4 separate regions of the Mus musculus genome follow, and regions 2, 3 and 4 are each reported to be linked to region 1. The links are microRNA targets in miRTarBase. Many come from high-throughput screens and were not tested one by one. Region 1 holds a microRNA gene; each other region holds the end of a gene's coding sequence. Distances are from middle to middle.

What was found. The annotated mature microRNA mmu-miR-26a-5p reads UUCAAGUAAUCCAGGAUAGGCU and lies in region 1 at 3,219-3,240, opposite strand. An mRNA with a match to its seed (bases 2 to 7 or 8) in the 3' UTR can be bound and repressed. Matches are read on the target gene's strand: a 7mer-m8 pairs with bases 2 to 8, a 7mer-A1 pairs with bases 2 to 7 and ends in A, and an 8mer does both.
Region 2: miRTarBase lists Lman1 as a target of mmu-miR-26a-5p. The part of its 3' UTR that is shown has no 7-base or 8-base seed match.
Region 3: miRTarBase lists Ddit4 as a target of mmu-miR-26a-5p. Seed matches in the 3' UTR shown: 7mer-A1 at 1,110-1,116.
Region 4: miRTarBase lists Hmgcll1 as a target of mmu-miR-26a-5p. Seed matches in the 3' UTR shown: 7mer-A1 at 2,139-2,145.

The regions. Positions count from the first base shown.
Region 1 is chr9:119,029,978-119,035,050 of GRCm38, reverse strand. Mir26a-1 (microRNA 26a-1) reads right to left here and starts at 3,255; the gene lies at 3,166-3,255. It overlaps Ctdspl (CTD (carboxy-terminal domain, RNA polymerase II, polypeptide A) small phosphatase-like), which reads right to left. Exons shown (of 8, transcript NM_133710.3): 5 at 4,799-4,855; 6 at 1,423-1,515.
Region 2 is chr18:65,979,036-65,984,101 of GRCm38, forward strand. Lman1 (lectin, mannose-binding, 1) reads right to left here. Exons shown (of 13, transcript NM_001172062.1): 13 at 4,652-4,852. The coding sequence ends at 4,816. Among named protein-coding and RNA genes, the nearest start is that of Cplx4, 11 kb to the left of the region's middle.
Region 3 is chr10:59,945,969-59,951,034 of GRCm38, reverse strand. Ddit4 (DNA-damage-inducible transcript 4) reads left to right here. Exons shown (of 3, transcript NM_029083.2): 3 at 6-1,360. The coding sequence ends at 499. Among named protein-coding and RNA genes, the nearest start is that of Ddit4, 3.3 kb to the left of the region's middle.
Region 4 is chr9:76,133,134-76,138,199 of GRCm38, reverse strand. Hmgcll1 (3-hydroxymethyl-3-methylglutaryl-Coenzyme A lyase-like 1) reads right to left here. Exons shown (of 9, transcript NM_173731.2): 9 at 1,850-4,445. The coding sequence ends at 4,335. Among named protein-coding and RNA genes, the nearest start is that of Gfral, 78 kb to the left of the region's middle.

The sequences.
Region 1 (5,073 bases):
CTGCCTAGGAAGAGTTTTCAATCTTGCTAAGGAAAAAAAAAAAAAAAAAAAAAAACCACAAAAACCAAGCCTCAGTCCGGCGCTCGGGTGCAATCTTCCCGCTCGCTCGCTATTTGGCTGCTTATTACTTCAGGTTCCTCAGCATCCCGGAGCGGCGTCACGAGCACCACTGAAGCTGCTCACGCAATTAGTCTTGACACCACTGGGGACGACTATGTTTTCCTTGAGGCCGTGTTCTGCTTTGTGTACATGAGATCAAAACCCAGGCTCGGGATCACTCGTTAGCAGCTCCCATTGAGGCTGGCTGACGACGCTGGTGGAGCAGAATGTGTGGCTCTTGCCTTGGTCAGCATAGAGTATAGACCCAGCCAGGAATGCCCCAGCCAGCAGAGTGGGGCTGAAGACCTGGGGTCGAAGATCCAACAGGCAGATGAGGATGGGTGCTATCCCAGGCAGGCCGTGGGGGAGGGAGCTGCTAGTGGCTCCCGGAATTCTGCACACCACAGATCTCATCTCTGGGGCCACTCAGAGTTTTCCAGGTACCCATGAAGACCCAGGTGCCTCTGCTAAGTGGATTGACTGACTCTGCGAGAGTCACGGTCGGCACAGAAAGGATTTGGGAGAGCGAGCTAGGGTCTACTCCGCCTGCTTTCAACTCACCTGTGAAGCCTGTCTGGATGCTATTGGTGCTTATGATGGTAAATACTGAACATCAGGAGTGTTTACCCTGCGACAGTGTCCATGGCAGTGCCCAGAGAACAGTGAGGGCTCAATGAACGTCTGCTTGATGGGAATCTGGGGCTGTGCTGAGCCGTTCACATGGGCCATTTCATTTAATGAACTCTAACAGGCAGATGGAATTATCCCCAATTAGACAAGAAGAAACCAATGTGCCAGAGGTAAAGGAATTTACCAGAAACCATTCAGCTCCCAAGGCTATCAGAACTCCCAACATTCTGTGCCTGCCAGTGACACTTGACACCTGCCTCTTAACTTGTTCCTCCCTGAAACCTGTGGCCATCAAACACGGGGACACAGGGACTCTAAAATCTGGCTGCTCTTCAATGCGTGAGGGAGACTCCCCCACACCTGCATCCATCCACAGTCACAATGGACGGGTCTTGTGGTTTTGTCTGTGGATAACTGGTTTCAGGTGGCTGCATAAAGCAACTTCATGGAGCATTTGTTCCAAATGCTCCCAGTCACCATGGTAACCAGAAACCTCTCAGCCTAGCAGTGTGCACATGGCCTGCATCTATCGCATCTGGGGTGGGAACCTGTCACCGTAAAAATAGCTTCCTCCACCTTAACAAAGGGCTCTTGGCAGCTTGGGGGGTGTGGTGGAGGGTGGAGAGGTTGGGATGACGGCTGGGAACAGGACGCAGGATGCAGGACACAGGATGCAGGACGAAAAGGACGCACCTTGGCCAAGCTGGCAGTAAAGAGCACACACTCAAAGAGCTGCCCCATCCTCTGGAGGAACTCGTCCACGTGAGGTCGCTTCAGCACATACACCTGCGGTGGGAGGAGACAAGAGCTGTCAGTCATAGCATCCAGGGACAGCGTGGGCCTTGGAAGAACTGCCAAGGGGCCCTTCTCCTGTTGCCAGGCCTATGTACGATTTACTGAAGCTTGCACTAGGTTCTGCGTCTCAACCCTTGTAGAGAGAAAGGAAAGCCGACCACGTCGTCAAGGTTCTTGAGTATCTTCGGAGCCAGTAAGCAGAGCACAGCTGTGCCATGTCCAGTCGCAGTTGCTCATGCATCCACTTGGCACTTGCTGAGTCAGCCCCTATGTGGCCACAGGCCACAGCCTAGGTGCTGTCCTTCTGGAAGTCTAGGACTAGCTGCGGCCTCCAACTCTGAACATCCCTGCCCCCTGGGGTTAATGCACTTGAAAACTTTCTAGTGGACACCATGGAGGTCACCCTGCTTGTGTAGGGGTACAGAAAGCACTTCACATGGGTAAGGGGCTGCTTCCCACAGTTGGGCTCTGTGTATCCTTCTGATCAGACCAGACAGGCCTGCGAAGCAGCTGGTTTCACCTAACACCCAGGCTGCAGTCTCTGGAGGCTAAAGGAATGTGTAGGAACTGGAAGAGAGAAAGCAAAGCCAGGGAGAGGCAGTGGGCAGAGGGAGGGACCAATTAAAACTTGAGTAAATTCCACTAGAAGTTAGCTACATCTTTAAAATAAAACATAATTACCAGGTCTCAGCGCTGTGCTCAGTTCAGCTACAAGGCTGAATTGGAGCCCCCAATCCTCTGGAGACTCGTGTGGTGGGCCTTGCCGGCTCAGCTCACTCAGTCTTGAGCACACACTGACAGAAATTAGTGAACACAAGAAATCTCACAGTGGGGTATTCATTCAAGATAATTCTCCCTTCCAGAGGGCGTCTCAGAAAGCAACATCTGGCCTTGACCTTGAATAAAGAGGAGCTCACACGCTGAGAGAGAGAGAGAGCTGAGCCTCCAACCCGAGCAAAGTGTGAACGTGAGGATCGGAAGCGTCACAACACTTGGGTTTGTGTTGGGCCAAAGCCTGTGTCCACAGCCAACCATAGGCAGTGAGAGAAGCCCTGGAGGCTGCTCAGGGAGGAAGCAGTTAAGGTAAAGAGCTAAAGGTAGCAGTAAGCCACAGGGCCTCTAAGGGCAGACAGAGCAGGGGAGGGGGCTGCGGAAAGGGAGAGGAGACACAAGACTGCACCCCATGCAAGGAAAACACACTGCAGGACAGACTTCCTAGATGGAAACACTGCTTTGCAGCATGCCAGGAAAAGGCGCTTCCTAGGGCAAAGACCTGGAGAGAAAGCGGCTGGCTAGCTTTAGGAGTGGGTTGGGGGTCTGGCTCTGCAGCTGAGGGTGGAGAGAGGGGCCAGAGGAATATAGGTGGTCTATCCTGGGTGCCACCAGGATCCTGCTGAGCTGGGGTGTTGGGCTAGGCTGAGGGCAGAGCTGTGTGGCTGTAGCAGCTGCAGGACCTGCTTTGCTCATAACACTCGTTGTTGCTGGTGCCAGTGACTGGGTGTGGCCTCCGGTCCTGAGTCTCCGGGAGGACTGCTTGGCCAGCAAGCTTGGCTACAGGCAAAGGGTTGGAGATGGACGGGGGAAACTCTGTTGTTGCCGCCTTTAGCAGAAAGGAGGTTCCTGGGCCCAGATGCCGGCGTCCAGGCCCGCGTCCCCGTGCAAGTAACCAAGAATAGGCCCCTTGGGACCTGCACAGCCTATCCTGGATTACTTGAACGAGGCCACGGCCTTCGCCAGGGCCTCGGTCCTCCAGCTTTTGTACCTTCCTTCTCTCTGGAGTTTCTGCTCCCAGCCCTGATGCCCGGGGTGTCTACTGCCAAAGAGAAGGGGCAAGGGAAGCCGGGGTGGGTCCTGCACTCCGGACGTGCTTGTGGCCACGTGGTGTGAAGAATTATTTTCTTGGGCAGTCCTCCTGAGCCTCACCTCAAGGACTCTTCGACTTTAGACACAACAACCAGCGCAGAGGTCCTAACTGCATGGCGGGGGTGGAGTTAATTCAGTTGGTGCTTTGTGAATGGTAAGTGACCAGGTGCCTGAAACCTTCCCAGGTCCTATGTCCTGTAGGACAGGATAGAGAGCTAGGTGGGGGTAAGGGAGACAGGGGGAACCAAGTCTAAGGAAAGAGCCCTGGCTTAGGAGTCAGGAAATCTTATCCTGATGATTGTCATATATAACCTTCTGTCTGGGCAACGGAATGGCTAAAACAGCTGATTTCACAGCCCTGGATTGTTCTAAACTGCACTCAAGAGTTAAGGAGCCTTATTGGCATCGTTAAGAAATGACATCCTGTGTGGCCCAGGAACCAGGAAATGTCTGTCCCTTCCTGGGATATGAGGCCAGATACTCTCCCCTTAAGGCCTTGAGTTTGATGGGGGAGACAGTCTGTCCCATCACTCCTAAGAAACATGTGGCAAAACTATATCTACCTTAACCTCCAAGGCGAGCTTTTCTACCATGTTTCTAATGTATTCATAGACGAAGTCATTTCCAGAAGAGCTTGCTGATGACGAAGAAAAAATAAAGAAGAAGCAACTCCCCCAAACAAACAAACAAACAAACAACCCCAAAACAGAAAACCCCAAAAACCGGAAGAAGATTGATGCCAGCTGACGATGACAATTTATGCACAGCACCCTGCTGGTCTTAACACACCCTTCCCCTTTGCTCTGGGTTGAGTATTTGCTAAAAAAGACACTGGAGAAAACCACATGGGCAGAGAAGCTCTCACGGGAGCAGTTGGCATCAAAGTGGACATTTTTCCCAAGAATGCTCCGTCAGTGGGTGACTGGTGGCATTTTCCTGTTGCTAGGAGAAGCCAAAAGCAAATGCATGATGAAGTTGACCAGATGTCAAACCCGGCCAGCGGTGGGGACAACTAGGGGATTGCACAAAGGCTCCTAAAAGTTGAAATCAAATCAGAGATCATACCTAATATTTATTAACAGAAAAGGGTCCTCATAAACACGGTAAAAAGCAAATGCATGCATGAGGCAGAGAATCATTCACAGTATTTTTATTTAGCTTTTGAGACAGGGTTTCTCTGTGTAGCCCTGGCTGTACAAGGACTCGCTTTGTGGACCAGGCTGTCCTCAGACTCAAGAGATCTGCCTGCCTCTGCCTCCATGCCTGGCTTACTATACTTATTATACAAAGTTTGTTTCCTGAAGTTAGAATAAAATGGCCACTGAAGTGAGAATTGAAAAAATGATGTTCCCAGGGAGTGTGGTTACAAGAAAATGCTCTCTGGAACTGCAGGCTAACTCTGGTTCCTTACCTGGTGTATGGTTCCGTCGATTTCAACAGGAACAATGAAGTCAGCATTACTAATGGGCTAGAGAGAAAAGAAATTGTGATTAATACATATGAAAGGAAAGAGAAAATTGGAAATTGTAGCAAGAAAGAAGCTTGCCTGGACCAATGTTTTGACGATGGCAGGAAATAGTTCACAAGGATGCTGGCAGAGGCCTTGGGTCCTTGAAATAAACATGTAGGAAGGAGTATTTCTTCCTGTCCTGAGTGTCCTGGAGTTCCAGCATCTAGCCCAATCTC
Region 2 (5,066 bases), not on the chromosome of region 1:
TTGCCCTCTTTGGTTCTTAGGAGATTGTGGTGGCTCTATGTTGCCTGTAGGGAGTGCTTCCTGGAGGTCTGGGTAAAAACGTGTTTCTAGGTATTGGAAGCTATTTAGGGATGGGGATGGGCTAGGAGTGGTGGTGATCTGGAAGAGGGAGGAAAGTAAGGCGTTCCATCAGGGTCTGCTTAGTCCCCCTAGGAAGAGGGGCAGAGCAGGAGGAGAGGCTACAATAGGTAGTCTACTAGAGAGCTGGGTGAGATTGGGGGATTAGTATGCAGGACAGGAGGGAGCATGAAGATCTGAAGCATGCTTCCCTGCTCTGCTGGCCTACTTGCTTCTGTGGCAGGCCTAGGGAGACATCAAGATCTGCAGTTAGCCTACCTGCTTCCTGGGCTGAGTGGTCTCAGGGTTCCCAGGGAATACCTGCTGATGTTGGGGGTTGGGATGAAGTGATGGGGGTGGGGGGAAGACTGTGTGAGCCATTGGAGATGGGGCAGGAGGCAGCAGGTGATCTGCTATAGAGCTGGGGCTGAGAGTGGGAGATTGGATCTGGAGAAGAGGGAGAGTTAGGCTACCTGCTGCCCTGGCTACTGTGTGTGTTGTTTTTTTTTGTTGTTGTTATTGTTGTTTGTTTTGTTTTTAAATCAGGTCCAATCTTGATTTAATGGCTCACCTTTAGAAATGCCTATTAGTTGTGACTTAATGAGTTTGAAAACAATTTTGGCATCTGACTTGAGGTCTTTACTAGAGTAGCAATCATCCCATTAGTGGGACAGCATTTTAGAAAGATCACATACAAATAGCATAAAACCAGTTGGGCCTTTCACGCTAGAGCCTGTGCCTGTAATTGAGGCTCATTTGTGGTATATTCTCTTCTTTGAGGAAATGTATACAACATGGCTATCAGGTTGTACTGGCTCAATGTTTCCATCCTTTCCCTCCACCTCCTCAGCGCCAGAATTAGAAAAACTCCCACCGTTGGTGACTAATGAGATTTTCTGACTACTAATTAGGTTGCTACTAATTAGAAATGAGTGAACATCCCAGCTAAACATACCAACCCTGACGCCAGCGTTTGACTGTTTATGTATTTTGTGTACAGCTGGGGGACTGACCCAAGCGTCCCACACACACTGGACCAGGGTTTTATCCATGCTCTATGGTCCTAGCCTTCAGCATTTGGTAATTAAAGGGTGAAACCACCAATACATGGCTTTAACTAATATAATACGTTCTTTTCATCACTGGCCGAGGCAAACGTTTATCCTGTTGCTACTTCTACTGTCCTCTGACCTCCTTAGCTCTCCATGAGGTCACAGATGGCAGGCCACCTAGGGGAGGTGTGATTATCAGTTGTAGGTGAACTTGACAGTATCTAGAATAATAACCTGAACAGAGCCTCTCATTGAGGGTTGTTTAGTTTGACCTTTGAGTATTCTTTGGAGACTGTTTTCATTGTGTTCATGGAGGTGGGAAGGACCATTCATTGTGGGGGGCACCACTCCCTGACTTTCAAGAGTAGGGCAGGTGTGAGCACAAGTGAGCAGTCATATATTCATCTTCTCATTGCTCTTGACTGGATGTGACTAGCCTTGCTTCCCCCATATGATGGGCTCTGACTGGAAATTACAAGCGGAATGAATAGAGTTCCTCTCTTACAGCTGCTCTGTGAGCAACTGGAAACAGGACAGCAGGATACAGACATCAATGGAGGAAAAAACCAATTTACTAAAATATTTCTTTTATTTGAATAAAGTCATTGACATTTCTTGAATTCCAGCTAGCATCAAGTAACAATCAGAAAGGGAAAACAAAACCAAACAAAACCTTGACAAAATGTTATATAATTAAAATTGACAGTGGATAGAAAACCCTTTTAAACTTGAACATCAGAAGAGAAATATATTAAAACGGGCAGCATACAGATTTAAGAAGTTGTAAGAGCTGATCCCACCCTGATCTCACAAAGTTCCTGATGACTAAAGCGTTCACTGCCTTCCTCCAACCAGCATGTGGGCGCTGCAGAGTCAGCATGGGTAACCACAGCGGGCTGTCCTTTACAAGACTGATTCTCCGAGAGCAGCAGGTGAGCAACCCTTATTCAAGTCTTTCCCATTTTCCTCACGCTAGTGACGTGCGCGGCATCTGAGATGAGCAGTGGTGACCGTCAGGAAGGCAAGGGCTTTGGCAGGCAAGCTTCACCATGGGCGCGGTTATGCTCTGCCATGAGCCAAAGATGATTGTACAGGTTTCAGAGTCATCACCCGGGAGCCGAGAGGTCAGCCGACAACCCGGACTTGGTTTGTAGTTGTTAGTGAGTGGAGAGTTGGTGAGCGAACACTCAAGAGTACAGAAGAACCAGCAGACGCCGGTCTCAGTGACAGTGAAAATGTGCATGGCTCGGCTCTGAGCCCATAATAAACACCCAGCAAACCTTTCCCCTACCCCCATTCTAGTGCTTGTCACCTGTCAGTGTGCCATGTCTGTGGTGTCTGGGGAATGGACACTCTGAAGCCCACCTGAGTTGTGACATGGATGGACTCGAATTGGCCTTGGAATCTGTATTCTTAATAAGCATTCCAGGAACTGAATGGTTGGCCCATGGGCCATACTCTGAAAAACACTTATGTGCCTTCAATACATGATAAAATACTGGTTATTGTCTGTGACTTCACGGTGAAGTTTTAACTGAAAAAAGCATTTAAATAATTCTATCACAAGCGGCATATTAAACAAGCCCATCGACAATTTTACATAATTGAGATTTCTTTTAAAAGTGGCATCATAAATAAAGATTTAAAGTTTTAAAATAAATTTTGTCTCAATCCAAGGCACCTGTAAAATACTTGCTGGTGTGAGAAGTTGAATTATTCCAATCACACAAGACACTACAGACATGAAGGAGTTCTGGCAGTGATAATTTCCCACAGAGCAGGGTTTTGCTCAGAAGTGAGCTATTTAGATTTAATGATTTTGATAGAAACAAATACAGACAGACTATGTGAACTACCTTGCTGAGTGATTTTTTAAAAGAAATTTAGAAGTAAAAGGACCCCTGCTCCTGCTCCACTATACTGACTGTCTGCAATCGCATTAGGAATGACCAGTGTACTTCCCCTTGGACTTGAGCCTGAAAGTGTACACTGCCCAGATTTGGGATTCCTTTAGCATTCAGGCACACATGACTGCGGACTTTGTAACAGTGGCTTTCGTAGCCTTTATCTCAGGAAGATTTCCCAAGACTCACAGTCTACAATCTGACACTTGTCTGGAAGTTTTTAAAAATGTAAGTGAGTTCTGGAAGATGACACTCCGTTAGAGCACGAGTGTCAAATGCTAGCTCCACAGAGGAGGAAGCAGGAGCACTGTGTGCTGCAGTGAGTTTTGTGGAGTCACTGTGAGTGTGCTGTGACACTTCTAGGATAAATGCCAGCAGAAAATGCAAGACTGCACACACGGTGCAAGCTAGGTAGTGCCACAATGTAAGTGTTCTCATAAAGTCTTCTATAGATTTCAGGTTGTCAGACAAAAATGCAAATGACACTTGAGAGGAAACTTACAAAGGCTTACAACAATTTTGGAAGGACATACTAAACAGTGTTGTTCTGGATCCCATAGCAAACGAGCCCATTACTTTAGTAAGAGGTAAATTGTCTTGAAGCCAGCGAAAGTCTAGCCCAGCTGTGAAAAGAAAAGTGAAATCTGCACTTTAAAATGCCACAGATGGTTTCGCAAATCCCTACGACTAACTCTGGGCTGACAGCAACTCTTTCCAGCCCAGTGTTTCCTGGTTAATTCACTAATGGATGTTTCACAACATCCTTATTTTTAGTGTTTAAAGGACAAACAGTTAAGTATTTACTTTACAAATTTGCTTTCAATTAGCTCAAAGCTGCTTCCACTACAGTCCCCTCTGTTTAAGAGTTTGCAAGTCATAAACTTGGGTTACAGAGATTGAATGTAAACCAGAGTGTACTGGTAAGGCCTGTAAATTAAAATAGCCGCAGAACATGCAATTGGAGCTAAACTACATGTTCGACAAAATGGGAGAAATGAATTTCACAAATTAAAAGTATAAAAATTATTTCCATACTATCATTGACATTACCGGAACATTTTCAGGACAGTGCCCCCCATCCGGAGTGAATACACTACCGGGAAATACCCCCGAAAAGTTCTCACCATAGGACTGTTCTCACCAAAATGATGGAGGCAAGAAACTAGTTGGTTTTTCCACCAAAATCTCCTTTAAAAATGAAATGCACACTGAACACAGGAGAAAAGCATTTCATTAAATGCGCTGACTCCTGGCATTTAGATTAAAGCTCTCAGACAAGTCACTGATCCCAGAAGGAGCTATGTTAGGGCCAAAGGATGGCTAAATCCAGTCTCGTATTAGGGAATTCTCACTTCTAAAAATGCCTTTGGTTACATGAATAGGGTGCTCTTGTTTAGACCTCATATTCTGGGGGAAAAAGATAAGTTTATTTACATAAATAAAGAACCCTCCAATAATAGACACAGAGGGTATCACCCACAGCCAGTGGCTGCCCCGACTGTCTTTAAGTCTTGACTTGCCATTACTCTGTTCAGAGGCTGCACTCTGCCTACCACAGACTCACTGACATTTAAAGACATGTAGTACTATGAACAAAATGTGGTTGTCTTTAACATTTATTTTTTACTGAAAAGTGAATGTTTTCAAGAGTTATTTCATACAAAATTTAATAACTTAGACTATGAAGCAATTTAAATACTAAATTCCCTCAAAAAGACAACATTTGCACATACATACATGATGTACATATAGGAAAATGAAGGTCAAAAGAATTTTTTGGCAGCTGCTTCTTGCTGAGTCCTAAAAAAGAAAAAGAAAGAAAATCCAAAAAAAAAAACTGACAGATGCTCTGTACAACACTTAACTTGGGAAAGAAATGGGATCATTAAAACTAGCAACCCCCCTGAAGTAGAAAACGATAGTTCGTGGCAAACACACGCTAAAAATGCACACCCAGTAGACTAGTTTGCCTTGTAGTGAACTGTCTACATTAGTGAGAGCTACATTAAGGTCC
Region 3 (5,066 bases), not on the chromosome of region 1:
TCCAGACTCCTCATACCTGGATGGGGTGTCCCTGCCCGACTTTGAGCTGCTCAGTGACCCCGAGGATGAGCACCTGTGTGCCAACCTGATGCAGCTGCTGCAGGAGAGCCTGTCCCAGGCGCGATTGGGCTCGCGGCGCCCTGCGCGTTTGCTCATGCCGAGCCAGCTGGTGAGCCAGGTGGGCAAGGAACTCCTGCGCCTGGCATACAGTGAGCCGTGCGGCCTGCGGGGGGCACTGCTGGACGTGTGTGTGGAGCAAGGCAAGAGCTGCCATAGCGTGGCTCAGCTGGCCCTCGACCCCAGCCTGGTGCCCACCTTTCAGTTGACCCTGGTGCTGCGTCTGGACTCTCGCCTCTGGCCCAAGATCCAGGGGCTGTTAAGTTCTGCCAACTCTTCCTTGGTCCCTGGTTACAGCCAGTCCCTGACGCTAAGTACCGGCTTCAGAGTCATCAAGAAGAAACTCTACAGCTCCGAGCAGCTGCTCATTGAAGAGTGTTGAACTACATCCTGGGGTGGGGTGCGGGGAGGGTTTCTCACTGCCCCCCAAAGTGAAGACAAGGAATTTCTGTGGTGGAGACCCGCAGGCAAGGACTGAAGGACTGTCCCCTGTGTTAGAAAACTGACGATAGCCACCTGAGGGGCGCAGGGCCAGGTGGGGGAAGGAAGTGTTCTCCAGGAAGTCTCTAGGTTGTATGCAGGTGGCTCCCTGTTGGGGCACACGCCCCTCAGTACTGTAGCATGAAACAAAGGCTTAGGAGTCACACAGGCTTCTGGCTGGATGTGTATGTAGCATGTACCTTATTTTTTTTTATTACTGACAAGTTACAACAGCAGTTGTGGGCCAGAGCCAGAAGGGCAGCTGGTCTGCACTGGCCTCTGCCCCGGCTGGGGGTTGGGGGCTGGGGGGGAGGCAGGGGGAGGTGGCCGACAGTTTGTGTATCTTCTGGTCTGAAAGGACCTAGTGTGTTTTGTCATTTGTTTTGTATCTTGGTTTTGGGGGGTGGGGATCGGCGCTTCACTACTGACCTGTTCGAGGCAGCTATCTTACAGACTGCATGAATGTAAGAGTAGGAATGGGGTGGGTGTTAGGATCATTCGGGATCTTCGACACTTGAAACAAAATTACACCTGGGAGCTGCAGCCAGCCCATCCCGGTGCCCATGTACTGGAGGATTCAACTGTGAGGAGAGGGGCTGGGGTGGGGGTGGGGGGCTGGAACCCTCTTTTCCCAGAGGAGTGCCACCTGGGTCTTCCATCTAGAACCTGTTTACATGAAGTTACTCGCGGTTCATGAATACACTTGATGTTCAAGTATTAAGACCTATGCAATATTTTTACTTTTCTAATAAACATGTTTGTTAAAACACTTGAGTCTCATCGGCGCCATAAATGAAAAGGGAGAGTGGTGGGTGCTGGTCACAAGTTTCATCAGATTTCAGGGGCCACTTGTGTGTCCCCTGACTGCCTGGTAACTGCCATCAGAGCTCCTGGACTGCCTGGCAACCTGGGAACTGTGCCATCAGAGCCAAGGTCCCTCAGTTCTGCTGAGTGGAGCTACCAGGAGAATGTGCTGGAAAGCACCCGAAGGTGAAAGATGAGTCAGACCTCCCTGGAAGTCTGAGTCTCTACAAGGAGGGTTACCTTGCTCTCCAGGTGAGAAGGCCCAGTCTCCTTAGCCTAAGGCCTTTTCTCTGAGGAAAAGTCTAGACTGATGTGGTACATAGTCAAGGGTATGGTTTTATCTCTGGGTATAAAAAAAGGTTAAGAGACCTTTGCAAAAGACAATTCAGTTTAAACCTCTCCCTAGGCAAGAAACCTAGGCTCAGGAGATGTGGCCCAGGCAGGAGCAGAGACCATACAAAGGCAGGGGGATGACGAGGGTGACCCCTGACTTCCTTCCCAGACAGAAGGCTGGAGTTGGGTTTCTTATCAGAAATGTTGGAGTTGAGCCAAGAAGGCCAAGGCCTTTCTCACTTGTCCCCGACTCCAGAGTCCACCCACACCAAGTGGCCCTTGGAGAATGACTGTCTCCTTTGTTTCTCTTCCTGATCCCAGACTGCCTTTGTGTGCCCCAAGACTGTAAAAAAACGGTTCTTGGTTTTGCATCCTTTTGGAGGGCTTAGTTAGAACAGTTCCCTCAGGCTGGGGATGTAGCTCAGTGTAAAGTACTTGCCTGACAAGTAAAAGACCCTAGACTTATCTCCACATCTCCCACCAACCACAAAGGAAAGCCAGATCCTTCCAGTGAGCTGAAAGCAGAGACTAAAAACATCTGGTTTTCCTCGGGGATTCTATCCAGGACCTGACCTTTGGGGTAGCCCAGGAGACCCACATCTCTTTCATAGAATCCTCAGAGCTTATTCCCCAAAATGAGTAAACCTGAGTTAGAAGCCAGGTGTGACAGTCAATGTACAACCGGAATCCCAGTACTTGAGAGGCGAAGGCAGGGGGATTGCCATGAATCCAACCTATATAGTGAGCTTGAAGCTAGCCTGGGCTGTAGAGTCAACTCCAGACTTGCCTGGACTAGTCTAGATGAGTTTGAGACCAGCTATAATAACATAGATTCTACTTCTCTCAAAAATAAAGTAAAATAAAATAAAGCAAGGGAAGGAGGGTGGGAGGGAGGATACAGACAGCCTCACCTATCTTAGGGTCCCTCTTAGTAACCATCCTAAGAGGGGTAGGTTGGGCAGGGGTGTTCTGTAATGTCTTTGGGCATGGAGAATGACCATCTCTTCAGACAAAGGCTGACCCATGCTCACTCAACCTGAGGGTGCAGCCCACCCCCACCCCCCTTTAGCTGACAGATGCTGTTCATAAAACTGAGACTATGACATTGCTTGCTCCTCTGTGTTCCTAACCCCAAGCAAAAGCCAGGAAAGCCACAGCCAGCCCTTCCCCTGCCTTGGTATCTCCAGGTCTGAGTGGGTCCTTCCATTTCAAAGCTGGTCAGATGGAGGTAGGAGGAAGGACTGCTTTCTTAGAACCAGTGTGACCCAGAAGCCTAAAAGCCGGCTCAGCACCAGACTCTACTCTCTCAAGTAACCTCTGCCAGGGACATGGGCCTCTCTGCCTTTCCTTTAAAACCCAGAGAAAAGTATCAGCCTTCTAGGTCTCTCCTCTGCCTCCCCCCCCCTGCATCCTTCACAATGGCCATGTTGAAATCTTGGCAGTCCTAGATGTTATTGTATCTGCTTCCAGCCCTGCGGGGTGCTCTAAGGTTCCTCTGGTGTATAGTGTCAGAATCATCAAATACCCACTCTCCCTAGGCTCAGGGAACACTAGGGCCTTCCAGCCTCGTGAGGAGAAAGTGCAGAGGAGTGTACTTGTTCTGTATGCCTATCAGCTAGCTTAGGGAAACAGTACAGGCTTTGGTGCAAAGGATTGAACCCAGAGCCTTATCCATGCTAGACATCTATCTGCTTTGCTAGCTGAGCCTAATCCCCAGCCCGGGAGCTCTCAGAGGAGGTCTGTTCTTTGTAGCTAGAGCTGCATGATTTAGAAGTGATGAGCTCTGGGTTCAGACCCTGACTCAGACATTTTGTAGCGGATAAATGAAAACAAGTCACTTGATCTTTGTGGTCTGTAAAGAGGTGATGACATTGGGAAATGACTCTGAAGAGGATGTCACTGGGCTCCACTGTGGGCAGAAAAAAAAGCCAGCTCTGGGTTCGAGCAGTCCTAGGGCTAGCTATAGAACAAGTCCCCTTCCACGGGGACTCCTTGGCTCTCTGCTCTTGTTTTCCTCTTACATCTTTTCAAATGTCAATATTTAAAAAAACAAAACAGGGGGCTGGTGAGATGGCTCAGTGGGTAAGAGCACCCGACTGTTTTTCCGAAGGTCCAGAGTTCAAATCCCAGCAACCACATGGTGGCTCACAGCCATCTGTAACAAGATCTGACGCCCTCTTCTGGAGTGTCTGAAGACAGCTACAGTGTACTTACATATAATAAATAAATAAATCTTTAAAAAACAAAACAAAACAAAACAAAAAACAGTCTTAAGGGACTGGAGAGATGGAACAGCTCTTCCAGAGGACCCAGGTTCAAATCCCAGCACCCATATGGCAGCTCACAACTGTCTGTAACTCCAAGATCTGACACCCTCACACAGACATGTATGTATTCATACATGCACACATACATCAGTGCACACAAAATAAAAATAAATAAATTTAAAAGTTTTAAATAATTGTGTTTGAAGCTGGGCAGTGGTGGCCCATACCTTTTAATCCCAGTACTTGGGAGGCAGAGGCAGGCAGATTTCTGAGTTCGAGGCTAGCCTGACCTACCGAGTGAGTTCCAGGACAGCCAGGGCTACACAGAGATACCCTGTCTGGAAACAAACAAACAAACAAACAAACAGAAATGAAGAAGAAACCACCACACTGGGGAGTGAACCTATACTGTCACACATGCTAAGCAAGCATATGCTTGATCATTGAGCTACCCTCCCTCCCTCCCAGCTCAATCTTGATAAGTTCTCATAAAAACCATCCTGCCGGGGGAACCTCCTCGTCCTCAGCCAGCCATCTGCCTGCCTTGTCTTCTGAGTTAGACACATAACTTTCCTTTTATTTTACCTTGTGGTTCAGAGGAAATGTTGAGGTCCAAAGTGTCTTAGGAGCATGTGTTTGGGGGCCTTGAGGAAAGGTGGTCTCAGACCTCCGGGACCTCTCATGTACCCCATACTCTCCAGGCTTCCAGCTCAGGTGACCTTAGATAGGCTGCATCCGGCCTTTCCCATTGGAGATGGCCAGTACTGGCTGGAGGATCCAGAGAAAGGTATCATTGTACAATAGATCATTACAAGACATTGTCATAATCTCCAAGTGAGGGCTGGAGAGATGGCTCAGTGGTTAAGAGCACTGACTGCTCTTCCAGAGGTCCTGAGTTCAATTCCCAGTAACTGCACGTTGGCTCACAACCATCTGTAATGGGATCCGTTTTGCTCTTCTGGTGTGTCTGAAGACATCTACAGTGTATTCATATACATTAAGTAAATTAATTAATTTTTTTAAAAAACCCTCAGATGAGGGATTTTTATGACAGTCACAAGTTAG
Region 4 (5,066 bases), 43 Mb from region 1:
GTACGATACCTGATGAGGAAAGTGCTATAAAATATTTCAACACAAGGCTTCTGATGTTTATTAGACAGCCCAAAAATCTGAACTAAGCAGAACAGGCAAGTACTTATCTACTCGATTGCAAGGGTTCTGTTAATATGTGAGCTGTGACACGTGGGTCTGCGTGTCTCACAAGGAACCTGGTACGACAATCCTGCTGACCCGAACCCAATGGTAAGTACTGCAAATAGAGGCAGTTCTGTGATTTAAGTTTGAAATTTAAAACATGGGAGAAGAGGAAGCCAAAAAGCAGTTGAAGTAAGGAAGACTGAGCCAGGGACAATGGGTATAGAGGAGGTGCTATGTAATAAAAACAGAAAGTACCTAAAGCAAGTGGGGATGTGTCACTGGCTGTGTGGTAAAACTGGAGATAGAACATATAGATGAACATGGATTTACTTGAAACATCTGCAAGAGACCATCAATTGAACAAGTTAAGTCTGATGAAGCTCTGATGATGTCATGCGTTCACCACACAGTGACCTTAAAGAGTTGTCATATGTATCAGCTTGTCTGTCTTTGTTCAAACTGACCAACCCTAACTTAGGGCATGAAGACCACCATGAAGACCCATAATACCCACAGCCCTGAAGGTAAGACCTGACTCTGGCTTCCTGTGCTTCTCTGTGCTTTGCTAAGACTCATTTCTCTATGAGCTTGGTGTATATGTGTTTTCTCACCCCTAATAAAAGTCTTTTATTCTGGCTGATTTTTGTCTGCTGACATCTGCTGTGTTTGAGAATTTATCTCCAGGTCCCTAGTGACATTTTTTCCTACCATTTAATTTTTTTAACTGGCAAAAATAACAAACTTGATCAAGATTACGATACATCCATATTAAAGACTATACCATTGAAGTAAAATAAAAAATTATTCCCCTTCCCTTCTGTCTCAGAGTTGTTAGATACAGGCTTCTTCCTTGCGATTACAAACTCACATCTCTCCTTTCTCACTATAGTATATACTTCCATGAGAATTTCTTTACTGCTTGCTCCCAGATGCTTTATTTAGTCTTCACTCCTGGTCTAGTCCTATGGAATAAATGTCTTTGGAAAGGGCTTGTAACAATACGCTGCTCAATGAAACATGAGTAGAAGTTTGGAAGAGTGTAAGTGTATACTGTAATTTGATAATAAAAAGTCACAGGAAAAGAAAAGGCCTTGCACATACTGTGTGGAATGCAGGCTTGAAGAGTTGCAATGAGCTTGCACTCTTAGGACCCAGTGTCTGAAGGTGAATGACACCTTAGGTTGGGAAGGGTCCTTGAAACATGAATGAGCCACTGAGTTAAACATTGGTGGAAAACCAAATTCTGAAAATGTGTCAGATAAGTGAGTTTTAAAATGTATTGTTTGGGGTTTTTAAATATCCTAACTGATGAGGCCCATCACAGTGTATAGGTATTCATTGGCCAAAAACAAAAGATGGTTTTGTCTTTCTCTTCTCTTTCTTTCCTCTCCCTTAGTCCATCCCCTCCCCTTGGCCTTTCCTCTGATGTTATTCTTCTGCACACTCCCTCTTCAGCTTGGGGCCCACCCCATTCAAGTACAAAATCCATATCTTCTAGTTCATGAGAGCAAAAGGATCAAGGATATTTACTGGAATCTTCCTTGTCTATTATTGTAATTCATATTTCTTTTGATCTGAGCCTTTAGTTTTTACATATTTACAACCATGAAAGGAACAATAGGTATGAATTATTTACTCAAAGCTGAATCTTTTGCCTCATATTGAGAACTCCTCATTTACAGGATACAGTACATACAATTATCAAAATTAAGAGCATACATGTGGAAATTAAGAGCCATATACATACAGCTAAAAAAGTCTTTATTAAATTTTATGGTAAACAAAATGCTAAAAATGTAAAGAGAACATCAAATTTACTAGAAAGTTACCAGATTAAATTTTTTTGCTCTAAGTTCATGAACATCAGATTTAAAAATTCTTAATTTTCAGAAAGCAAAATTATTTCTGCTTGTTGGTTTGTTGGGCTGAGGGATCAAACACAGGTTCTTACACATCCTAGGTAGAGTGATCAGCTACTTACCAACAGTCCTAGCAATAATAGAACAGCAACATATCTCTATGATAAAACATACTTCAAGTTCCAGGAGACAGAATAGCTAGTCTTACCTTAAGGAGAGATGTGAAGAAAGATTATTTTCATTCACATTTCAACAAAAGTCATACTTGCCTTGTCATTCTTAAGCCTTTCTAGGTAAAACCAAAGCAAACTTTGGTATCAAAATACATGTGGGTGAGCTTTTTGGTTTGTTTTTTCCAATGGGTCATGCAATGACTGCAAGGTTTCCTGGATAGCTGAAAGAAGTTGAGAATACTCTTCCTAAGAAATTAAGACAGTATAGGGAGAGAAAGAGGGAGAGATAAGAACATATAAACTAGTCTGTGTCAAGTGCAATTAGATAATATCAAGGTGGTCATGAAAGTCAACTGGTACACTGAGGTAGGCACCATATAACTGTATAACACTATTTCTGAGGTTTCTATTTGCACTGTCTTTGAAAGAACTTTGAGCTTCATTTCAAGACAAAAATGCTGGTCACTGTTTTTACAAGTAGTCTGCATAAACACATGTTCTCACAAATATCTCAAAACTGAGCACTCCAGGTCTCTGAGAGGGAAAAATCAACTTCCTCAGAAAATGAAGGAAGAAGTGCACTTTTGCCACCGCCGCCACCACTGCCGCCTGTCAGTGCCCTAGTCTGAAAGAGAGATGAGCAGGGAGCTAGGACTAAGGCAGATCCACAGTTGGATGACACTTTGCTGCCTCTGTGTCATCCATATTCCAACCTGAGCCCCCAAGCACAGAACTGCTTTCAGTACTCTAGAAGAAAAGGATGCTGGAACAAAACCTACAGAAGAAAGGTTACAAGCTGACAAGTTGGAGTCTTCCATGGAAATTTAGGTTTCTTTGTCAACTCGTATGTTTCTGTTCCAATTTTTCCTACTATATACCTTTAATGATATTTTGCTTCTAATCAATATCCCTTTTATTTTCTGTAATATTTTCATTTCAATGGTTTTACTATTTTCTAGGATGTCTGTGCTGTTTTTTGTTAATTGGTAATTTACCTGCATATATGACTGTATCTTGCTTGCCTGACTAGTCATGCAGAGGCTAGAAGAAGTCATTAGATTTCCTGAAACTGGATTTACAAATACTATTGAATCACCATACAGGTGCTTGGAATCAAATCTATGTCCTCTAAAAGAACAGTCAATGCTCTTAACCACTGAGCCATATCCCAGGCCTTGATCTTTAATGTATTAATTTTCATTATCCCTGGCAATGCTTTCTGGCACTGGAGATAATATTTCTGTCATTCAACTTTAAAATAAATATTCTACAGTCAAATAAAAACAAACAGATATAGAATACAAATAATAAGTCAATGAAAACAGACTTTTCATCAGTTAAAAATTATATTAACATTCTTAAAATCACAGTAGTATTTCCTTGGGCCATTTAAAAGTAAACTAGATATTATGGAAATAGACTAGGGTGTCTATATCAGTCTACTATTGTTACTGTCCCTTAGACACCAGAATAAAAACCATACCATAGAGTTTCTCCATATTTAAATAACATTGTGGATTTTTTTTCTACAATTGATTAAATGTAAAACACAGCAAACTGGATGCACAGAACAAACATGGGAGGTATGGTGTGTTTTCAGGATGTGGCTTCTTGCCATTGACCACAGCATCTTGGAGCACAATAAAGTCATTGAAATAGTTAACAGATGTTAGCCGCACTCGAAATATAAAAGTTCTATTGCTAAAAAATATGTTGGGTCGGATGAAACTTTGGCTCTTGGTCCACAACTTAACAAACTTGGCAAATGGAGAGTTAGGATCCAGAGGGGGGGGGGGAAACACAACTTCAGGGCCACACACTCTGCATTGTGTCGAGGCTCATAAACCACTAACAATGTGTACCCTGCGGTAAGGTGGCTTGAGGAGGCATTAACACAGCACTTGATACTTAGAGAAATCTGAAGTCAATTTTCAGTTCTACTAAGCTAAAAAATATAATGATTTCTGTAAGAGCAAACGAGCAGGCTTTGTCCACCACCAGAAGGGCAAGCAGTGGGGCTCATTCTCAGCTTGCAGTTGAACAGACGCCTTGTCTTGCCCCATCCACTTCACGGTCTATCCAAGCATAGCTCCTCTCCCAGCTCTTTTTATTAACTTCCACTTCAGAATGTGTTGGCACTAATGACACTGTGATGAACTAGGGCTGGAAGGGCTCTGCTCTTTCTTAAATCACAAACTCATTCAAGGCGAGCGTTGAAGGAGGCTTGTGCGACTTTAGAGTTTGTAGTTTTGTTCACTGCCTTGCAAATAAACTCACCAGCTTCCATCACCTTGTAGAGATCCACACCCTGGAAGGGAAAAAAAAGAAGACACCAGGTAGGGTAGGGATGAGAGTCAAGAAAAGAAAAGAAAAAAGGATGAAAACAATTGTTTTAATCTCACTAGTAGTGGCTTAACTGATTAAAATTAGGAAACATTGTTTTGTTCATTATCAGTTCAGGGTCAGCATTTATTTCCGTGAACCATGTAGGCAGTGGTTTAGATTTCTCCACTTTATTTATTTATTAAAACATAATATGAAGAAGATACCTCAGTACAATTTGCAAGCATATCTAATGTTTAAGCAGGACAATCATAGAATTTGACGAAAGAGAAAATAAATCAGTAATGGATGGGAGAAGATTACAGTTAGAAACCGAATTGGGAAAAATGATGCCTTTCTTGTATACAAAGAAACAAACTGGTTAAGTTTATATGGATTCCCAGGAACAAATGAATGCTTTTTTAAAACCATACATAGACTCAGAATTATGAAATAGGATGAAGTGGGAACTGGTAGGGTGGAGAAAATGAACTGTATTTAGTACACAATGGCACCTACTATGCCTGATGTTTGTACTGTCTGAAAGGAAGTATGAGAGCTACTGAGGCTTAGGAAAATCCGGGAATTTAAGATCAAGGCATGTTCC